Linked DNA regions of Drosophila melanogaster. The protein of the gene in region 1 interacts with the protein of each later gene in a pairwise test. Each region holds a gene or a part of one and is shown on either strand. Other genes may lie near its edges.

Region 1 (7,630 bases):
GCTGGAACTGAAAGCCAACTGACCGTCGGAGGTTGGACTTTCGGGTGTCTCTAGATCGGGGGCCTATTTGGTATGCAGCTTCGCTTTCTAAATTATCAAAGTTTTGGGGAAATGTTGTGGTATCTCTCGGATTTAGTTTTTAATATTCAAATACTATGCTTTTCTCCGCCCAACTGTCAACGCTGGATGGGGCGGGTTGAGTCTCTAAACGAGGGCCATTAATTTGCGCCCTCGAATTCGGACTGGGAGCCCGGTGTTCGTCCGATGCCTGGTCGTGGAGGCGAACGCGGATTAAGTAATCGCCCAAATCTACTCCACTCAATTCACTTTCTTTCCGCTTTCGCGGCGAGAGGCAGAAATTGAATTGGATCGAGCGAACTGGAGCGGATGGTCTCTCCTCACTGGTTTTGTGGTCTGTCGTGGACCGATCTCAGAAGTTGCTCACATTCGGGGCCGATCCGCTGAATGGTTAACATCTAGGCTGGGGCACTGCTTCACGATTTCTCGACTCTTTCCTGCGTTCGCACTCGCCGTGTTAACTTACAGACTAAAGCGTTTGAACGCGACTAAAACGAGTTCCTCGCTCGACTCCTCTCCGAGCCACCGATCGGATCGGTCAGCTGGCCCGATCTGCGATCTCTGGTCTCTCGGATCTCTCCCTCTCCGTATAGTATAGTCACTGCAAAGTGACCAAACCGCTAAGCTGCCGCTGCATCCAACGGCGGCTTTTCCTCCTCCTCGATGCTCCCTCCCGCGAAGATTTCTGGCTTTTAATTACAGGTGTGCAATAGATGAAGATGGTCGGATCGGATCGGATCGGCATCAGAGTTCTGCATCGCGAATTGGTTTTGTCGGCTATTTTTAGACCCGCCTCAATTGCAGATGAAACACCTCCGCGGCCTTGACTGGGCAGTTAAGTGCCCTTAATGAAGATGGGCATATACACTTGCAAGCAGATTACTGCGGGTTAGGGTATCTACATCAGATCAATCAGTGAGGGATCAGATCAACTAATCATAAATGGGACTAGAATTATTGTTTTTTTTTTTCTTAATTTTAATTCAATCAAAAGCATACATTTACGTAACTAGTCGAAAAAGTGAGTGTTCGTGCATCTTACTGGACGGGTTAATATGAATGGGTTAGTACCAGAGCCAAATTTCAATAATTGCTGCTGTGAATTTTCAAAGAGTCGCTTCCAAAATGCCAAAGGATGTGTTCCGAAAGGGTAAGCGTCAAGTCCGGTCGATGGGAATGGGATCCGCCTACGGATCTCTTGGTCTACTTCTTCTTCTTGCCCTTGCCCTTCTTGCCCTTGCCCTTCTTGCCCTTCTTCCCCTTCTTGCCACCGGTTAGCATCTCCTCGGAAACATAGGTCTCCGTGGTCACCTTGCTGATCGGAAGGGTTACGGGCTGCTTGGGCGTCCGCAGCTCGATCTCGATGGTATTCTTCTTGTGCTGCGACTTGGCCTTACTTCCCAGTTTTACTAGGAACACGTCGCTGTCGGTCTCCTCGCAGGTCTTGTAGCAAACCTGAAAAATAAGAAAAGCGACAAATCTTTTTAGATACTATGCAACAGCTAACCAAAATAGTCTCAATGCAACGCGTTGCATCTTTCGCAGAAATTACCATAAATAAAAAAGCTGTAGCGGATTGCCACCGCAAACTGAAAAGAGTGCTCCACACTTGGAGCTGGCAGATGTTACGCAACTGCCCCACAATTGAGGCAATCGAAAGCCTTCCCGAAGTGGCAGAAGTGGCATAGTTGCACCACCTGCAACAACGTTTAGGGGGGCAAAGTCACGGACTACCAATCGATCCACATTCCGCATCCGCACACGTAACTGGCGAACTTAAAAAATGGAATGCGGAGGCGATCGGCGATTGTGGTTAATGATTTAAGATCGAACATTCTTGAAATATGGATTTCCTTAGGCCACTCAGTGCTGCGCAAATGAATATAGGATGGACTCACCTCGATACCCTTGCGCCTTGTGTCCAAATTGACACCCTTCATGGTGTCCATGATGTCCTTCCGCTCGACCTGCATGCAACATGATCGCTGGTTCTGGACGGGACAGTGCGCGGGCACGATGGGATCGGATCCGCCGCAGAGTCGCTGGCGGTAGCAGTCGACCTTGGCCTCCTGGAAGTCGCAGGCCTCCTTGATCTTCGAGAAGGGCACGTAGTAGTTGTCGGTCTCGCAGGCATCGTTCCCAGAGTACTTGATATTGGCTCGCACCTTGGGGATGTTCGGGTGGTTGATGATGCGGCCGCCGGTCCGGCGCTTGATGTGGTTGCGAGCGAAGGAGCTGCGCTGGAGCATATCGTGCAGGCAGGACTCCTTTGCGGGCTCGCAGTCATTGGGGTCATCGCGATAGCAGGGATCATCGCCTGCGCCCAGATTGGGCGCAGTCTCGCTGCCATCCATCACGCTCTCCACCTTGTGGGTGTTCTTGAGTACGCGTATGGTCAGACCGCTGCCATTGAGGCAGGCCTCGAACTCGTCGTACGCCTCCGGACCCGGATCCGGCTTGGTCGGCTGGATGAAGCAGGGAGCCAACTCCGGACTGCAGTCGCAATCGCAGGCGCACTGACAGCAGCCATCACAGTCGTCCACATCTGAGGATACCAATTGGAAGGGATGAATCATCCTTAAGCCCGAGCTTCGGTGCAGGGATCCGCGTGTACTTACTCTCGTTCATGGGCTTGAGCATCTCATTGGTGATCTTGAACTTGCAGTCGACCTTTGGCTTCTTGCCCTTCTTGCCCTTTCTTCCCCTCTTCTTGGCCATGTTGTGCGGTTGAGTGATTGAGTGTGTAAGTCAATACAATTATTCACTAGGCTCAAGCTGAAATCTCAATTCCGAAAGCCTTCAATTCTCAATTTGGATATTGTACTTCACCAGTAAGTGGCGCAATTTCCGCACAGCTCGTTTTCGCGCTGAAATGAAAATTGAATTTGGGTTAGTGGATCGCTTCGAAAATTTTTTAACTTGATAGGAAAAAAAATAGTTCGGACGTACTGATTCTCTGTTTTAATTTCCATCCAAAACTCGGGTAACAACAACGAAAGATTTTATTTTTCTGTATTTTGTGCGGCAGACAACATTTCCCGTTCGAATGTATAAAACAAATGCTAAACGAGTGATCTTCTACACCCCGACTACTAGATGTTACTAAATGTTTCGCTGGAGTTACGAGACGTTTGTGTTGTTGTTCATTTCGAAGCCTACTTGGCATTCTCGAAATCCCAGTTGAAATCGTTTTCTAAATACATACATATATGAGCTCACCTTCATCACAGGCCATTTCGTACTCCTCCTCCCGTCCGTTGCACCTGACAGTGGGCTCCTTGTACCGAATTTTCTTGGTCGCCTGGAGGACTCCTGCGCAGACAGGATCGCAGTCTTCGTAGACGGCGGACGGACTATTCTCGTCTCCTACGCGGCAAACAGCACCTCCAGCCTGACGCTTCTTCTTGCCCTTGTCGTCCTTGCCACCCTTTCCATCCTTTGCGTCCTTTCCATCCTTGCCACCCTTTTTGCCATCCTTGTCCTTCTTGGGATCCTTTTCCGGTTTGTTCAAGAGCTCGGCCTGCATCTTCTCCTGGATGAAGCGTGGGTACGGTGGAATTCCGCCGCAGGGACCGCATTTCTGCAGCTTTTGTTCGATCGGCGAGAGATTGCAACGCTTTGTGGGAACAGTGGGGCATTCTGGGAAGAAGTATATACATTACATCATTAAAAGGAAGCATTTATATATGCTGATGATAGATTATAGTCACCTCTATCGAACTCGTCCTCGCAGTAGTCACAGGGACAGAGCTTGTCCAGATTGCACGAGTAGTACCTGAGGCACTTTGCCGGAGGCTCAACTCGCTTGGCACAAGGATCCACCATTGTACAGCGACGACAAGGAGGCTGGGCACACGAGCCCTTGCAGCCCTTCTTATCCATGGGCCCGCCGGTGGCAGTTCCGCCGCCACAGCAGGGACTGCAGGGATCGCACGGATCGCAGGGGTCGCAGGGTGGAGGACATGGTGGGCCACAGCTAGGAGGCGGTGGGCACGAGCCGCAGCTGGGAGGTGGTGGGCAGGGGCCGCAGGGACCACAGGGGCCACAAGGACCGCAGCAGGGCTCCGGGCACTTGGGATTGCGGGAGCAGACCTTGCTGAAGGGGAACGTGGACACAATGGTCGGACCATTGCACACCAATCTAAGGATCAGCACTATGTTGCCAGTCTGCATCTTGCAGAGATTGAAGAGGGGCAGCAGTCGCTTGGACAACTCCGATGTGGGACACCACTGCTCGTGACGTTCGTTCAGCTTCTCGTAGCAGGCACAGTTGTCCAGGAGGCCCTTGCTGGTGGGACCCTTCATCTTGGGCAGCTGGGCGATGTGCCCCAGCATGGCGTCTTCCCAGTCAGGATTCTCGATGTCAAAGGACTCCTTCACCCTGTCGAAGATGGGCTTCACCTTTAGCTCCGACAGTCCTATCAGGAACTTGCAGCTCTCCGTGCGCTTCTTATAGACATGCACCTGCAGCACATCCTTGTCCGTAATGGGGGAGTCCAGAGTGAAGAGGGCGCACTTGCCGCACTTGGGCGAACAGGGGTTAACACACGTGCCCACCTCCCGATCGCAGAGATTCACGTAAACCGACGAGCGGAACGTGATCTCTGTGCAGGTTGGATACTCCTCCGGAGCGCAAAGATTCTGGCGTGTGATCAGCAGATCGTCCACTACGAACTCGAACATGTAGAGGAAGTTTCCTGCAATCTTGGGAGGTTTCTCTGGCTTCTCAGACTTATCGGATTTCTCAGTTTTCTCAGTTTTATCAGACTTGTCCATTTTCAAAGGAAATAATTTTGGCTAGGCTTTTGTTTTGTCGAAACTAGAAATTTATATGCCCGAACACTCGCACTTCCAAAAATTTTGTGAGTAAATTTGAATTTAGATTCTGATTTTGAATGGCCGTCCAGACGGGGAGACTGTGGTGTTCGAACTGCTAAACCGACTGGATTTGCGAGGGCTACTGGAATCGGATGAATTTTGAAAACTTGATTCCTTGATTTTCGATATTAAGATTGTCTTTTAGGCAGATGAGTCTGTCTGTATGTAGATTTTATTACGCCTAAAATGCCTAGTAAGGTCTTATTTCTAACATATATATAAATTTTAATATTAAATTATATTATAATGGACAATAGCCTCCTCAAGTCACTGAAACACCAGAATTGGTATAAAAATTATTCAAATACTTTATTTATAGTTAAGATATGCGAATGATTATCAGTTGCTAGGCGCATCCCTTGTCAAACAATAAAAATGCTTATGGCAACTAAATGAGTACGGAATATAAAGGCTCGCAGCTGCATTTCCTACTCATGTCTTCTTGGCTGGCACGGTCTTGCAAGGATCGCAGGGATCGAATGGCGACGAACAGGGAGCAGGCCAAGTGGGCGGGCAAGGACAGCAACAGTTGCAGGGATCCTTGCACACTGGTCTCTGGACGGGGAAGGAGGATACCACAGAGGGCCCATTGCACACCAGTCTCAGGATCAGCACTATATTGCCCGTCTGCATTTTGCAGAGGTTGAAGAGCGGCAGCATCCGCTTGGTCAGCTCTGAGGTGGGACACCACTGTTCGCGCCGCTCCCTATTCCTCTCGTAGCACACACAGTCATTGGCCTTCTTGCAGGGGCCCCTCAGCTTGGGCATTCGCGACAAATGGGACTCGACGTTACTCTCCCAGTTTATGTTCTGTGAATAGAACTCCTTCTTCACCCTATCGAAGATCGGCTTCATCGGCAGCTCGGTCAGCCCGAGCAGGAACTTGCAGCTCTCCGTGCGCTTCTTGTAAACGTGAATGTGCATCACGTCCTCGTCCGTGATCGGCGATTCCAGCGTGAAGAGGGTGCACTTGCCGCACTTGGGCGAACAGGGGTTGACACAGCTTCCGTTCTCCCGATCGCGGATGTTCAGGAAAACCGAACGGAACGTGATCTCCGTGCAAGTGGGATACTCCTCCGGAGCGCAGAGGTTGGGACGAGTGATCAGCAGATCGTCCACCATGAACTCCAACATATACAGGAAGTTATCAGCAAGATTAGAGCGTTTCTCCGACTTGTCCATTCTCATATAAAAGCTTAAAAACTAGAAATTTGACAAAATTACTATACCAAAGAATTTGTTATGTGTTGAAAACGTTTTTAGAAATTTTCAGTCACTGAAACCTAATTTTGACGAAAAATAAATATGTTGAATTTTGAATTCAGATTTTGACGACGTGCCGAAAAGGAAAGACTGATTTTCGAAATGGATCTATGCGACTGAATGTAAAAGGCCTGCCTACGATTCAAAATATATAAATAAAAAGCTAAGAGCTCTGCATTCCTACTAAAATATCAACAATGACATTCTTTATATGATTAACACCCTCTGGGTAACCTGTACTCTTAACCTTTACTGGCCATCTTTTATGGTTGTCATAAACGCCATATACCCATATCATTAATTACATTTCACCTCCACAAGTAGATAGAAAGACGCCGGTCTGAGGTTTTCTAGCAATGCGTAAAATACTTTATTTAATGTCATTAAATGGTTCTACAAAAGTGATTGATCTACATTGCAGTTAATCGCAGTTAATAAGCGGCGCCTTCACAACTCCACTTCTTCCCGATCGAAACCCCAATCATTCCCCTTTTCCAGCCGCCTGAAGCTCGCCTAAGTGTAAGTGATCTGTGTATATAATGACTAACAAGTTGCAGAAGGGAATGGACTGGGGGGGGCTTTAAGACTAAACAAAAACAGAATAAAACAAAACAGAAATTGAGAGGAAGTCGAATCGATTACAGAATTGGTTTACAATTGTTCTTTCTCGGAGCAATGGGACAGTTTAGCTGCAGAGGTAGTTCCCAGTGACTCTGCTAGACGACACTAACGTCATGGGTCTCGAAAGGAGATGGGCGGAAAAAGCCGCGGCCACTGCACGAACTCGACGCCGTAGTGCAGGATGCCCGTGGCACTGACAGCGATCATTGCGCCCCAGAAGAGCATGAACAGCAGGTTCTCCGTGTTAAACTCGGCCGGATAGGTCATCGTGATCATGAACATGGCCACAGCCACAAGCAGCACCGAGGGGAAGGTGAAGAACCGCCAGCCATGCTTCGACTCCAGCGGCGATGGCACGGCACCGCCCTCGTTGTCGTTGACCAGATACTTTCCAAGGAAAAGATCGATGCTGTCTTGCCGCTGGCCATCGGCGAAGTTGTTCAGATAGTAGCGCATCAGCGAGTTCTTGCCGTCCTGCATGGCACCAGACTTGGTCCTCTTGCCCGTCCTGGTGAAGTCGGTCTTGAGCGCACACGTTCCGGAATATTGTAGCGACACCAGATCCGCGTTGTCCGCCCACACGCCCTTGAAAATGCTCTCGAAAATGTCGGAGGCATGTTCCACTTTCTGGCCCACATGAAGCACTCCCAGCTTCTGGAGCACCGCAGTGAGGGACCTGCGGGCCAGCATGCTCTGCACGACGTTCGTCCTATCGAGACAGTCGATACAATTCGTTCGGAAGACACCAGTCTGCGTGGACACCAATTTGCCGTCGTCGAAGACATGATAG
Region 2 (6,121 bases), on another chromosome or scaffold:
TTTATCAGCTCGATGACAGCAATGGAACAAGAACGAGAGCAGCTCCAACTGTGTCAACATATGTTCTTGTTCTGCGACAGCTATCTTTTGTGTTCTTCGAGCAGATACAAAGATATAGTAACCGTACGATGCAAGCCAAGCTCTCGCCCAGCGGTTGAAATTCGCATCTGGGACGCGCTAAAAAGGCGGGCCTCTTTAGCTCAGTGGCAGAGCACTGGTCTTGTAAACCAGGGGTCGTGAGTTCAATCCTCACAGGAGGCATCCAACTGCCCCCAGGTTGCCCTGGGGTTGCGTGGGAGTTACACTTTTTTGGAAGCTCTGTGAACTGTGAAAATAATACAAATATTAATATTTTAAGGGAATTTATAGATATGAAGTCCAGGTCGAAGTTCAGCTTAAAATCAATTGATTTACATATCTTTGATTTAAATGTCTTTAACGCACACAGTAATAACTGCGTGGAATGTCAATTTTAAACCATTGAGGCCAACCTATAAGATAAATATCTGCCATTTTATGCTCATGTGATATTAAGTCCATCTCTAAGATACACAATTTTTAGTTAGTGCTCTATTATTATGTAAAGCCATAATAAAAGTACCTCACAGGGAACTATGTTTTAATGGGGTTGCGTGATAGTAACCCTTAGTTTAAACATTCTTGTTCTTCTTGTAAAATTCTTCATTTCCCTGCGCAATGTGCACACTAAATTAGCCTGTTGCCCTAAATCGAGAGCACCTGTCACCTGTGCAAGGACTTTTGGGCGTTCCAAAAACGCGATCAAGTTCCGCTCCCATTGGTTTTTAGCTGGTGAGACAATTTATGTCGTCTCGCGATCTTGGAAATGCTCCATGGACACGCACACCTTTAAGGAAACATGAAAAAATGAGGATCGGCAGTGGAAAGTGAGTCCAGGTAGCGCAACGCAATGTTTTCTTTATGATGGCATAAATACGGTTTTAATTGAGGTTGCAAGCGGCTACTTGTTCGGTCATTGAAATCTCATCCACTTGGCATAAATTACGAAACAGGACTCTCCCTCGGTTTTTTCCATTTTTCAAGTGCCACAAAATGTTCGAGTTTATAATGTTTGGCCTGGCCTTTGGCCCCGACCTCATCCTCAATTCAAGAGCCGATCCCAAATCCCGATTCAATCTTATTCTCGGAAAAGCGAGGGAAACCCAAAGCAAGTTTAGTTTTTCCAGCCACTTGCGGTCTTCGTTTCTTTTTTTTTCGGTTGTGTCGTTGTTTATTTTGTTCGGGATGAAAAACCATAAAAAGTGGTTTCGCGTAACTGACAGCGTCAAGTGATTTTCCTTTGTTTTTCTTTTCGGAGAGGAAGTGTTTCTATTTCTTTCGTTTTTATTATTCGACAGGCAACAAATATCTCTTCGATTCTCCGCATTCTCGATCTTTTGTCTTGGTGCGCTGAAGAAACGAAAGACTGAAGTCACAAACGTGTATGGAAATGAGCAGTCATCCGCTTTCAGATTTGGTAATAGACTCGGTCTAACGGTAAAGCACATTTCACTCGCAAGATTTGATTTATAGCCAGTGGCCCTGCCTCACATTAGCTAATCGAAACGATATCAGCCCGCAGAAAGTTTCGCAATTAGGCGGGCAGAGGGTTAAAATATGACGCACTTAAAGCGCACGAGAGGCGCATGCGTAATCCTTTTTTCCTGTTTTAATTTTTGTTTAATTTTGATTTATGCCCGCTCTTGAATTTCGGCTTTGTTGTGTATCTATTTTTGGGCTGCATTTAATGAAGGGAAATACAATCAACGCCATCAACCCCTACGCATGCGCATTTTACCCTCGGCACATGGCAAAGGGTTTTTTTCGGGATTGTTGTGATCATTTTAATTGACTTTGCGCACGAGCGAACTCATCGGACCGAAGCGCCTAAGATAAAGGGCAGATAGAGGGCACTATATAAAACCGAGTGCCATATGTCGATGACGCCGATCTCGGTGATGCAACTGCATCAGCAGGCAAATGAGCAGTTTAAGATACGCGCTGCATCGTAAAATCTCAGATGCAGCGGCAGCTGTCAAAATAGCCAAAGACACCCACCGAAAAGTCGAGGGAGTGGAGTTCAATGCACTGGAACTCTATTACCACTACCCATCTTACCCATTACGATCACAGCGCCTCGGTCGCACCAACTATAACCCAATAAATCCAAATCCAGGGACCAGTGCACTTCGCAAGTACTCGCTCTACAGAACCGCTCTCTCACTCACTCACCCACCACCAGTTCAACACACCTAGCTCCTTTTGAGCTAAAAATGGATATACATATATATGATTATGATAATTCTAAACCATTCTTCGAGTTAGAAATTTAAAATTGTAGAACTTTTTACTAAGCCACCTAATCATATTTCAAATTAGATATCTATCTCAATTCTTTTACGCACAATTTCATATTTGTCTATTTTTTCACAGACCTTTTCAGCTATTTAGCTTTTCTTTATAAGCAAATCCATACAACACCGACAAAAAAACAGAGAGGGTGCAGTGGTGAGAGCCGGTGAGTGAGAAGCCGAGAGAGCGGCTTCATGTAATGCCCGTTTGCCGCTAAAGTCACGATGTTCAGACTTCATCCAATCGTCGACGCGATCGGTTGTGCTCGCACTCTCCGTGTAATCCGAACCCGATTTTGTGATTAGCCCTCCGCTGCGCCTGCGTGAATTCGTGGACCTTCTTCAATCAACCTGAACCTACGTGAATTTGTGCGTTTTGTTTACTTGTTTACTTGGCCCATTTGAAAGCAAATTTCCTGCATCCTGCATAAACAGAGGAAACGCACAGCGGAAATAGTATGAGTTATTAAGTCGCTGCAAACGGAAATAATTAACAAAAAAAAAATAAAACTAAATGTGCCGATCGCGTTTTAGCAACGGTTTCGATGCGGTTTCAAACACAATCGGTTTAAGCATTGACATCATTGATTTATGTCCCAAGTGTAAATAATTCGCACAATACAATACACCAAATTGAGGCTTCCCTCCCTCCACCAAATCAAACAAATCAAATGCAATGAAATGAAATGTTGCCATTAATTTGCGCACATTGCCATTGTTCAGAGTTATTGGTTGACTTTTAACTGGGATCCGTACTACTTTAAGCTGGTAAGTAGTTTTCATCGCCCATAACAATGGCAACAAATGAAGAGCGAAAATCACTTGCGAAAAGCGAAAGGTTAAGCAGCGTTCAATTGTTGCATTCTAAAATACAGTGCGGCCTCTTTAGAGCAAACGGGGTCGTCGCAGACAAAACAATAATGATGATGGGGCAATTTATCTCTTCAGAAGGCCGCTCCTCATCTTTACTTGGAATTTGTCTTGCATAATCCCCTTGAAAAACAATTCTGATATCTGAATATGGAGGAACTTTCGAACTGTTGTATAACTCTTTCCTATCATAACAAAAGCGGCAGGGATAATTGAAGGCTCCGAAATAAATTAGTTAGCCGACCGTCTATTAAAACGCGATTTGGTTTGTTGATGAGGCGCAGATAAGGCAGTAAATAGCATGGTTTTTTGCTCATTATGCCACAATCAAGTTCAATGTCTCGTCATAGAATACAGAAAAATTAGGTTCAAATTTCTAATAGAATTCCTCAAAGCAGCCACAATCAATCAGTCAAAAATGACTCGATCTCTAACCGACCGACCATACATATAATTACGTCTGAGAATTTTGCGGTTGAATCACAATCTACGATTCTAATACGTTCTACAGACCCCTTTCGAATCGTGGCTCAAATGCAGTGGCAGGTTCTGTTGGTTCGGCTGGTATCTCGGTCTGAACATCACCCATCTCGCTTTTGTCATTAATTTTAATTAGATATTTCCTTTTGGGAGTCACTGGCTGCATTTGAATAACAATTGAACGCCCTCTAAGACGAAATGTATTCTCCGCTTCCATTTCTTCATTGAAATGCCAAACCCTTTATCGGCAGGATGTCTTTGGGGTCTCTAGAGTGTCATTTACATATTCTTCGGATTCTTTTGGCCGTTCGTCTGTGACTTTTGTCTGTTTCTCGATTTTTTTCAATGCTAACAACCTAATCAGAGTTTGTTTTTCGGGTATTTGTTGGATATGGTAATTTTCGAATGACTGTATTTTATTTTTTATGTGGGCTTCATGTCGTGATTTCTCGCCCATGTGTGGACTGAGGTGCATCAACGCATTTATGCTGACTTTTGTTTCGTCTTCTTCGTCCATTAAGTGGGAATAGAAAGCCGAGATTTGGCTAGATAACTTTGCATACATCGTCGACCTGTGATTGTTGACTATTCGGGGTAACTGTTTCGGTTGCGGTTTTCACTTTCATTCAAAGAGGCGCTGTAACAATTAAAACGAGAGCTGCAAATCTCTTCATCTTCTCAAAATAAACCAAGGCAAAACTATCCGCATCGATTTCGCTTTCGTTTTGATCGTATTTCCGATCATTTGACCAGGGCAATTTGCACTTTCTTATAGCGCCTAATCGCAGGCCGACTTTCTAGAATTGATTTGCATAAGTGATTTGTCCAGTGCGGAGACTTTCGCGACCCCAATCTGCATCTCGGTCTAAAGACAGCTGACGTTCTAACTGTGAACGATAAATACACACTGTGTAGAAAAATATGCCCGAGACTAATTGCCCAGTGAAAATGATGGGCAATTATCAGCTGAAATGGCAACAGCTGCACAGCAAACAGCCCGTACAGTGATCACTCCGCAAACAAACAATGGAAATCTATATATTTTGGTGGTGAACTTGGGGTCAATTCCATGACCGTATGCCGTATGGGTCGAAACAAGTTTCTTAACCTAATTATCTGAGCCGCTTCGTAATATATATTTAAAATCGAGCAGATTTTGTACATTCTTTCTTATCAAACTTATGTTCAAATGATGGAAATATAAAGCTGCAAATCAATTTATTAAAAAAGAGAACAAAGCGGTTGCCCCCGTCTATGATATAATAAAAAGTTTATTAGAACTGCTTGCCAAATAAACAAACCAACGACCTTTTCTACAGAAGTCTCTCAAAGTAGAAAGACAAAAAGAAAGATATAAACCCCAAAACAAAGAAATTTACATATTTATGTCAAGTCCATTAAGCATATTCTTGGCCAGTTGTGGGGCCATCTTAGCCCGGTCTGGTCCATTGAGTTGGCCATGTAGTGAGCAGCCTCCGGGGCGATTAAAATTATCAATGTCGGGGCTGCGCTTGTGACACTTGTGCACACATAATAATGCCCGACAAGTCAGGCCAATTGTCAAGCTGGGCTAATTTGTGAGCAGCCGCAGTGTGTTAGTGCCAAGAGAAATATTTCAGCTCGTAAATAACTCGAACAGACAAGCTGCAGGTGTTGGGAAACTACAAACTAAGCAGGGTTAAGGTTTATAGGAAAACCACGTTGTTCGTAAATAACAAAAACAAAACTTATTTGGTGGCAAGCCCGGGGGGCAAATATTTATTCATAAAGGTAATTATAACGCCAAAACGTTAGTGAAACTGAATTAAGTTAATTTTGATAATTGTTTCAACCTTGTAGGAAATATTCAAATATGAAAATAAAAATAAAAACATGATTTCGTACAAATGCCTCCTGTGAGGATTGAACTCACGACCCCTGGTTTACAAGACCAGTGCTCTGCCACTGAGCTAAAGAGGCTCTGTTGAAACGCTGGCCAAAGCGCAATAGGCATAACCGCAGTCAGAACGCTTCTAACAGCTGGAAAAGTTAACAGCGTCCGTATCTGCTAGTTCTAACAGCGCACAAGCCGTTGGCTTTTTCCATTTGCATTAAAGCAGGCGTAACAGCCAGAGCTTCGAATCAAGTTATTACGCGTATATATAAACAAATATATATATATTAGAACCAGGTGTCATCTCCATTTAAGTAATTGAGCAAAATATTTTTGCATTGTTCCAACAAATTGTGGGCGCGCACTGAGCTCATCTCGCAACAATTTTGTAGGCGCGCTTGAAAGAGAATTAATAGTTAGCAAGTAACAGCAGAGGAGCGGGGCTGGTAACGCCCCCTCCGTGAGATAGACAGAAATTTGATTTGATTTTCAAGCTATTGAATTTACATAAAATCCAGCATTCGCTGTG

What was found.
Region 2: the proteins of CG9133 (region 1) and sprt interact in a two-hybrid assay, tested with the Drosophila melanogaster proteins (one large-scale study listed by BioGRID).

The regions. Positions count from the first base shown.
Region 1 is NT_037436.4:1,249,391-1,257,020, reverse strand, and holds CG9133 (uncharacterized protein), read right to left. Parts: upstream 5,010-7,630; 5' UTR 4,855-5,009; coding exon of another isoform or gene 3,789-4,854; intron 3,718-3,788; coding exon of another isoform or gene 3,298-3,717; intron 3,169-3,297; exon of another isoform or gene 3,028-3,168; intron 2,946-3,027; coding exon of another isoform or gene 2,878-2,945; 5' UTR 2,797-2,877; coding exon 2,697-2,796; exon of another isoform or gene 2,655-2,696; coding exon of another isoform or gene 2,624-2,654; coding exon 1,977-2,623; intron 1,534-1,976; coding exon 1,282-1,533; 3' UTR 1,035-1,281; downstream 1-1,034. Other genes in the region: CG9130 (uncharacterized protein), read right to left, coding at 2,878-2,945, 3,298-3,717, 3,789-4,854; Bfc (booster for Crq), read right to left, coding at 5,389-6,144; Sac1 phosphatase, read right to left, coding at 6,952-7,630.
Region 2 is NT_033778.4:11,393,910-11,400,030, reverse strand, and holds the start of sprt (sprite), read left to right. Parts: upstream 1-2,598; 5' UTR 2,599-3,137; intron 3,138-5,606; exon of another isoform or gene 5,607-5,678; intron 5,679-6,121.